Linked DNA regions of Tribolium castaneum. The main gene of each other region encodes a partner of the protein of the gene in region 2 in a complex. Links are inferred from orthologs where the notes say so. Each region holds a gene or a part of one and is shown on either strand. Other genes may lie near its edges. The genes, in order: Sf3b1, Prp5 and splicing factor 3B subunit 4.

Evidence for each region.
Region 1: Prp5 (region 2) and Sf3b1 share a complex: the UniProt entries of both Homo sapiens proteins name them as parts of the 17S U2 SnRNP complex. The link is inferred for Tribolium castaneum from reciprocal best matches to the Homo sapiens genes DDX46 and SF3B1.
Region 3: Prp5 (region 2) and splicing factor 3B subunit 4 share a complex: the UniProt entries of both Homo sapiens proteins name them as parts of the 17S U2 SnRNP complex. The link is inferred for Tribolium castaneum from reciprocal best matches to the Homo sapiens genes DDX46 and SF3B4.

Annotation. Positions count from the first base shown.
Region 1 is NC_087395.1:16,044,174-16,047,173, reverse strand, and holds the end of Sf3b1 (splicing factor 3B subunit 1), read right to left. Parts: coding exon 962-3,000; intron 910-961; coding exon 751-909; 3' UTR 660-750; downstream 1-659. UniProt on the Homo sapiens protein: Component of the 17S U2 SnRNP complex of the spliceosome, a large ribonucleoprotein complex that removes introns from transcribed pre-mRNAs.
Region 2 is NC_087399.1:726,735-730,399, forward strand, and holds part of Prp5 (probable ATP-dependent RNA helicase DDX46), read left to right. Parts: coding exon 1-384; intron 385-2,220; coding exon 2,221-2,933; intron 2,934-3,665. UniProt on the Homo sapiens protein: Component of the 17S U2 SnRNP complex of the spliceosome, a large ribonucleoprotein complex that removes introns from transcribed pre-mRNAs.
Region 3 is NC_087395.1:2,320,540-2,323,057, forward strand, and holds the end of splicing factor 3B subunit 4, read left to right. Parts: intron 1-1,100; coding exon 1,101-1,889; 3' UTR 1,890-1,930; downstream 1,931-2,518. UniProt on the Homo sapiens protein: Component of the 17S U2 SnRNP complex of the spliceosome, a large ribonucleoprotein complex that removes introns from transcribed pre-mRNAs.

The DNA.
Region 1 (3,000 bases), on a different chromosome or scaffold from region 2:
ACTTTGGTTCTGTAGTTTTTCGTGGTATAAAGTGTTTATTGTTGGAATTTGAAAGTGGATAAAAAGTGAAAAATATTTAAATTTTGATTACAAAGTGTTATCAAACAGTTGTCTAATTAAAGATTATAAGTAATGGATCACAGCGAACACAAAGTTTGGCTCAAGAAACCAATATATTAGTGAAGTGTTTTAAATTTTAGGTTAGAATTTTCCACTGAAAAAATCATGAAATGCTGCGGTAAAACTACAATAAAGATTAACAACTGCTGATACATTTAAACGTAAATTATGCCAAAAGGTAGGTTTTTCAATGTCTTTGTAATAATTTTCCAATAAAGAAAGTGAACCAAACAGTCATTCGTTATTCGTGTTTTCCTCGTCATCTCTCATTTGTCAACATAAGTTTCTTGCATCAAAGATGCAATAATCATTCCGCATAGGCAATGTAATAATTGTGAAGCCCCAAAATTCGTACAACGCTCAAAATATCCGAATAAACATTTTCCCGCCATTTATGGTTACTGTTTTCGACCTAGCTCAGTGGCGCCCCCAACGGTAATTTTACTTCCGATTATCAACTTTAAACAAGAATGCCAACAACTCGGTGTTGCCAATATATTATTTTCAGCTAAGTAATGAACAAAGCTATATAAAATATATTTGGGACTCAAACATATTTATTTCTTCATTGGAATAACATTAATTAATTAAAAAAAGTGCAATATCCTTACAAGCCACTACTACATTAAGTTACAAAACATAATCCATATCGTATCTAATGTACTGATTTTTGGGGTCATTCGCAATGCGGGGATACCCCGCAACCAGCGCATCTTGTCCTCCAATATACAAAGAATTGTAAATCTTCCAATAAACATCCCTCACTTTTCTAGCAGGGTGGAACAACCCCTAAAACACACTCAATTAATAACAGTTCTATACCACCTTTTATCCAACCCACCTGTAACGTATACTGCAAAATCTTAATCGGCCCCAAAGCCACCCTCATGCCTTCAATCGCGTCCATAAATGCCTGCACTAAATGCGGCGACGTCTCGAAAATATTCGGCCACACGTAATTCAAAAGATGAATCAAGGCGTCTTCGCACCCAAACCCGTACACACCCAAGGCCATGTGTTTAATAGCCGCACACGCCGTCTGTCTGTGCACCAAATCCCTGTCCATCAACGCATCCTCAAGCAGGGGGGCCACAGCGTAAATATAATCCTTCCCCATCTCACCAATGTACTCAAACAGGAACGAAAGCGACTTCAAGACACCATTCTGGACGTTAAGTTCCGGCACTCTATACTCATTCATCAAAGCCGGTAAAACAGTAAACGGCGAACAGGTCTCGGCAACTATAGCTATAGCCACAGTCGTGCAAACGCGATTTTGACGCTCTTGCACTTTCAAATTATTCAAAAGCGTGGCGAGTACGTCATGTGGGCCTATAGCCTTAGCAATGTAACCAAAAGTGTTGACCGTCGCGCGCCGAATCGCCTTCTTGTGCGCCTTCAACAACTCGAGCAACTCGAAACAAATACGCATCCATTCGCGCGCGGAGACATACTCCGGCCCCCTATCGGCAATCCGGCCGACTAAATCGATGCAGTTCTCTTGTACTTTCTCGTGCCGATTCTTCAAAATCGGGGTCAGACGTGGCAGCAAGTCTTTAATCGGTGGCGTCATTTTCGTCATCCCGATCACGTTGACTATGGCCTTCAAGGCGCCCAAAATCGAGCCCAGAACCTCCGGGTACTCCTCGCCCAAATATTCATACAATACGACGCCCAAGTGCCCCATGAGTTTCTCCTCCTGACACGTCTTCATCACGACTGCGATCCGCGAGATCAAATCGGCGGCCTGTTGGCGGACCTTGGCCGACTTGTTGTTCAGTCTCCAAAGAATGGTACCGCAAATTTGGGGCAAGTAAGCCTTGACTCTTTTGCCCAGCTGGTTGACGATGGTGCCGAAACCGTTCAACATGACCACATCCTCGGTGGTTTGCTCCTGGAACGCGTACAAAATGCCATCAATCAATTGCTCCTCCAATCGCGAGTCAACGTCGGCCGCTCCTAAATTGCCCATGATCTTCTCGATACTTTCCATGACCATTTTCCGGTACTGTTCGTTTTCGTCTTTCAAATCGTCCACAATCCGGTTGATAATTTCAGAAGCTCCGACTTTATTTGCGATTTCGACAGTCGTGTCGACCAACTGGCGGTAATTTCGCCGGTCCAGCGCCATCCTGTGATTCCAGAAATGTTTAAAGAACTGTGGGAGAATCTCCTCTTTGATGTACTGAGGCTCGACACCGTCAGTCGAACAACACTGCTTGACCACTTTGAGCACAATCTTCTTCATTTCTTCGTCAGGCGATTGAAACTCCCGAATCAAAATCAACATTACTTCTCTTGTGTAATAATTGGCATACTCGGCGTCCATCAGCGGAATCAAATAACCAATAGCTTTCAAAAACGCAGCTAAACCCTTCCCGCGATGGGTCCTAATGCCCTTCCACAGTGGTTTAAGCACCGAATCGAAACTCTCAATACCGTACGGTGTCGCAGCCTCGGCTAACGCCGCGATACCTAACGCCGTAATCGTTCGAACTTTTTGCTGTTCGTCGACCAAACCGTGCTCGATAATCTCAACCAATGATTTCAAATGCGGTAAAATAGCGCACCCCATCAATATTGCGATTTGTTGGACGATTTTAATACCAGTATGCCGGGCCTGCCACGATTTTTTCGACCGACAGACGGCTTTCAAAAACGGCAACAACGAGGGGATTCCCAGAGCTGAAGCGACGACGGCAAACGCACGAGCGGTTGTATTTCGGACGTATTCGTCTATATTGTCAATATCGGGCCGCATGGTCGAAATCATGGTTGCCAATCCGGCGGCTTTGGCCAAATTTGAGATAATCTCACGGCCTTCCACACGCGCGTAGTAATCTTCGTCGATGAGCAACGGTTCGATCACCACCAATATTT
Region 2 (3,665 bases):
GCTCGGTTGTGTGCAAAGATGTGGAACAACACGTTGTTATTCTGGAGGAGGACCAGAAATTCCTTAAATTATTGGAGCTGTTGGGTCTCTACCATGAGCACGGGAGTATCATTGTCTTTGTCGATAAGCAGGAAAACGCCGATATTTTGTTAAAAGAATTGATGAAAGCGGCGTACAATTGCTTGAGTCTTCACGGTGGTATCGACCAATTCGATCGCGATTCGACGATTATTGATTTTAAGTCGGGGAAAGTCAAACTTTTGATTGCTACTTCGGTGGCGGCTCGAGGGCTAGATGTCAAGCATTTGATCCTGGTGGTTAATTACGACTGTCCTAATCACTATGAAGATTACGTCCACAGGTGTGGTCGGACAGGACGTGCAGGTAAGTGATTAAAAAACCTACAAGAAAAAAGCTCACAAAAATACCACTTACCAATGTTTCAAGTTAAAAAAAAAACACTTCCAGTTGTCCAAAGAAAAAAAAATAGATTTAAAATTTTATTGTTATAATTTTTTTTTTTTAAGTTTTGCAACCTACTGTTTAAGTGAAAACTTAGAAACTGAAATAGTAAAAAACTCAAGACGTTTTTGAGCAATTGAACAATGTTTTATCTTCACAAAAGAACTCACAGAGAAATACGCTCATTATAATAAGCTGTATTTATTGTAAATGGATATTACCTTTCCTCCCTGGTTTCTACTCATGAATAAAGCATTTTCTGTCAATTCAAAAGAGTAACTTTATTTTCTGATCTAAATAACAATTTAAAATTGGGAGGAATTTTACTTAATATTTTGATACTTTTTTTAAGAATTACTCAAAACGTAAACTACGAATATTCTGCACTAATACAATGAAGGAAATCTTACTTTTGTTTTAAACGTTACGTTGTTTTAAACGTTGTTTACTGTTTTAGATATTACACTTCTTTATTTTTCTGGTATAAGAAGAAGAAATAAAACAATGAAGAAAAAAATAATATTAATAAAAAAATACAATCAAACATAATGGGATTGATTTTTTTTGTTCTTGACTTATTTTAGAAGCGGCAATTGTTTTTTATAAATTTTTTGTTTAACTAATATGATATGTAAACACAAAAAATAAGCAAAAAACAATTACTTTTTTCTAAATAACAATTAATAAAAATTAATTAAATAATAATTTAAAATAGTATTTGTATAATACTTTTACTAACTTTTTTATTTTATTTTTGATTTTTTTTGAATTAATTTTTTGATTTTTTTATTCTTACTTTATACTTTATACTTATATACTTTTATGCTTTTTTATTTTTTTATACTTATTTATTATAAAAATGTGTATTTACTAAAACATTAATTTGTTAGCTATTATTAAAAAAAATAAAAATGACGTCATTACTCTAAAATGAATGACGCCAGAAATGCCTTTATGATGTCAAAATGTACTATTTCAAAAAATTAAATCGACTTGTTCGAGGATTTTTTCGAAAAATAATTTATAACATAGTGCGTTACTTTTAATTCATCTGTACAGTCGAACAAAATGAAAATGATGTCTCAATGACAAACGTCAAGTTAAATAAAAATGTAAATTTTTTCATTGGAAAATTTTAACAGCCATCGAAAGTGAGCAATTTTTTTACGATGTAATTTATTCATCAATGTTTGAAAATTATAATTTTTACATAAAAGTTTGACAAATCTAACACAGACTGAATTCAAATGTTTCGATGTTAAACCTAAAAAAACGTTCGAATTTTTACCAAAATTTTTACCATTTTTACTAAATAAGTCGGATAAGTCGGAACTATTTAAGTTAATAATGATTTGTTTTTTTAACGCATAATTTTCTTAAAGAAATAGTTTTATGAAAAAAACTCAACGTTTGGATTTAATTAACTCGACGTTTGTCAATGGAAAATAAGTGGCATTTTAATCCGAATTAGTTTAATTAATTAATTAATTCTGAATTAAATTTAATTTTGCTATCTGTAAACCAGCTCAACTAAAAAAAACTATCTTGAAACTACGTCAAGTTTGCTTCCACAGCTTGAGGCGTCATTTTCATTTTGTTCGACTGTACGTAGAAAAGCCGTATATAAAATTGAGTTGTTTTTGCCAAAAAATTGATTTTAAATTTTTTAGATTTTGTAAATTTTTGTGAGTTTTTTTCTTCTGGGCTTTTTTCTGTGCGCATTTTTTTTCGGTGGGCTTATTTCAATGATTCGTGCAGGTAACAAGGGCTTCGCCTACACCTTCATCACCCCCGAACAGTCGCGATATGCTGGAGATATAATCCGAGCGTTTGAACTAGCTTCAGTCCCCATCCCTGACCCCCTGCGTGCACTTTGGGACTCCTACAAGTCCAAGCAAGAAGCCGAGGGCAAAAAAGTGCACTCCGGGGGTGGTTTCAGTGGCAAAGGCTTCAAATTCGACGAGAATGAAGCTGCCGCAGTCACCGAACGAAAGAAATTCCAAAAAGCGGCCTTAGGTCTTGCCGATTCCGACGATGAGGATTTGGAGCATGACATAGACCAACATATCGAGAGTATGTTTGCCACAAAACGGACGGTTAAAGAGATTAAAGCACCGTTAGGATTGATTAATCCAGCTGCCATGAATACGCAAACGGCAATGGATAAGCTAGAGTTGGCGAAAAGATTAGCTTCAAGGATTAATTTTTCGAAGAATATTAGTCTGGATACGAAGTTTGCCACGCAGCAAGCTGCTGAAAGTATACTGAAGGGGAGCAGCAGCTCGTTGCCGATTACGGCGAAGACGGTGGCGGAACAGTTGGCCGCCAAATTGAATACCAAGCTGAATTATCAGCCGAAGGACGATGATGAGAGGGATGATATTGATAATGAACAGACGTTTAGGAAGTATGAGGAGGAGTTGGAGATTAATGATTTTCCGCAGCAGGCGAGGTGGAGGGTGACGTCAAAGGTTAGTATTGTCATTGGAACACGTTTTTATTGTTTGCCGATTTTACGATTTTTCCCACTTCAGGTAAGTAAACATTCGGAAAAATATACAAAGTGTGTTAAAATGATTTTCATCTAGTCGTCTGTGCCGCAACACAATTTTTTTACATATGAACCGAAATAAACCAATTTCAAGGTTAACTAGTGACAATCATTTTAACACACCTTGTATAATTATGTGAAAAATCGAATTATTGTTTTTGGAAGAGGTTTTCACAACATAATAATATTTATATAATATATAATATATAATATATAATATATAATATATAATATATAATATATAATATATAATATATAATATATAATATATAATATAAATAATAAATAATAAAATGTGTAATGTAAAAAAAATCTGAAGCATGATGCAACTTGATCGGAAAATTGTATCATCAAGCCTCCGGCAAGAGATTGAAAAGTTGCATCAGCTGGTTTAAAGTTTCATCTGTTTGCATGTTTTCCACGCAGTATTTCTTGTAAAATCGGGGTGTGAAGTTCCTCAAAAAATAATTGTGTGAAGTGACCATTATTGGATTTACTTCTCGTCTGTAGAATAAACCAATTAAACTTTTTTCCTCCGTGTAGTAAATTCTTGTTGGAAGAATTTTTTCTATTTCTAATTTGATTAGTCCTAGCCTCTGGCGGCCTGATTACTAAATTAATTTCATAACGTACAGAAAAAAAAATTCACCGA
Region 3 (2,518 bases), on a different chromosome or scaffold from region 2:
AAACGAACAGAAAATACTTGTGATTAACACCGATAACATTTTCGACAACCAAGCGACGACGTCTGTAATTTACTGTCAATGTCAGTTTGACAAATTCGTGACACTTGACGGTGTTGTCGAAGTGCACATGTAAATCAATGTTCAAGGATACCACCCTTAGATAGCCCTTAACTGTTTAAATTTGCATTGTTTTTGATAATTTTTTTATAGCTTTGTGTTGGTAATGAAAAAATGAAATTGATGACGCACACGCAAATCGAGCTGACCGCCACTATACCTAACTAGGCAGAAAAATATCGATAATTTCTTATTTCTTTTTCTTTCTTTTCTTTTTTCTCGTTAATTTTTGTAGTGCGCTTTCACTTTTGCACCAAGCAATGGGCCACTCTGAATTATTAATGTTATTATTGTTATTTAAATATTGAAAACAAAAGTTTTTGTCTACTATATTTTGTAAAAGTATTTGGAAACGATAGGAACAAAACAAAATAACTAAGTTAAGTGTGAAATGTATTATTTTCTTGTAAATTTACATTTTTAAAAAATTTAAAAATTTAAAAATAATTATTAATCGTTTTGTTAGGAAACGATTACTTACTGTGAAACATAAAAACATTAAAAAATAATGAAAAGTAAAGAAGTTAAATACAATAAGTTTGTAGCTCTAGATTTTTTAAAATATGACTTTAGGAATTTTTTCAACATTTTTCCCGTAATCTACACTTGCTTCTCAATAACGTACCACTGAGTTGGTGCGCCAGTTTTTGAGGACCCTGTATAACCGAATTTCAAGATCTCAAATTTTTTCGTTGTCCGCTTCGCATGAAAAGCCCCAATTGTTAAATCAGGTGTAAGTGCCTTGTATTGCTTTATGCGACAGATTTAGGGATTCTCATGTATTGAAAAAAATTACCTATACGAGCATTCTTCCTTCAAAATTTATTTATTTATTTTTATTTATAATTTTGCTAATCTCTGTATGTTATTTATCAGTTGAGTTATTTGTCTCACTCCATTTGGTAAAATTAAACGTTCAGCTTCTCCACATACCAATCTATTTTTTTTTTCAAACGTTTTTTTTATATTTTTTAATATTGTAGATAATGAGAGACCCCGACACTGGCAATTCCAAAGGCTTCGCTTTCATCAACTTTGCAAGTTTCGAAGCATCTGACGCCTCAATCGAAGCAATGAACGGCCAATACCTCTGCAACCGCCCCATTTCCGTCTCCTACGCCTTCAAGAAAGACTCCAAAGGCGAACGTCACGGCTCCGCAGCCGAGCGTCTCCTCGCAGCCCAAAACCCCCTCTCCCAAGCCGACCGCCCCCATCAACTATTCGCCGACGCCCCTCCCATGGGCATGATGCCCCCAGGAATGACTCTCGCTCCGCCCCCACCTCCCGTAATCCTCGCTGGAATGATGCCTCCACCACCCCCCACTCCGGCAAGTATGCAACCTCCTCCACCCCCACCAGTTCCTCCACCCAGTTCTTTCCCCTCGGGGATCCCCCCTCCGCCATTACCTCCCTCCCAACCGCCCTTGCCACCAGGTGCACCTCCACCGCCTCCAACCTCCGCCGCTGGAGCACGGCCCCCTCTGCCACCAATGCCTGCCTCAACGCAAGCTTCAGGCGCCCCCAGGATGATACCACCTCCGTGGCAAGGTGGAGGTGGGTTACCGCCACCACCACCTGGACCGCCAAACTCGGCAGCGCCCCCAACGTCAGGTGCACCGCCGTTCCCGGGATGTTTCCCGCCGCCACCGCCTCCAGGGGGGCGGCCCCCGAATTGGAGGCCGCCGGTTAATTTTGGTGGAGGGAGACCACCGTTCCCACCAAGGGGACCTCCACCACCACCTCCGAATAATTTTAGCGAAAATAATTGGTAAAAACAATAATACAATAAAGTCAAGGTGAATTTTTTTATTTCGTTTTGTGTCTTGTTTTTTGGATTTTCCTATTATTATCCTTTTTATTATTGTCACTATTTCCAGTAAATGGTATTGTGGTACCAGGGGCTTGATATCCTAATTCCTCAAAACTTAATGTTTCTAGTGAAAGTAGAATATGTATCATTGGCAATTTTCGTTTAACAACTATTTGGTCTAAATCAGGAATAACTGGATCCCAAAATTCTTCTACTCTGCAAAATTGTAAAATATGATGCAATTTCTGATCCAAGTCGTCTTAGGCTGAAATTAAGTTGGTGACACTCTTAGTGGCGTTTGCCATGCAATGTCACCAACTTATTTTAAGTCATGTCAGCGGAAATTTTTAATTGAAAACAAACTTACACCCTATAACACAGTTTCGTTATTTGGTGTAACTGATTATTGTGTTCCCGTTTCATAATTTCAGCACATGTTACAGTTTTACCAACAGATTGTCCAAATCCTGTCCACACAACGGCTTTAGCACTTGGAAATTCATTTAATGCGTGACTTACAAGATTCCTTATTTTACTTCCACCCCTCACCTAAAACAATGAAATAAAATTAATGTGAATTTTGTAATTACG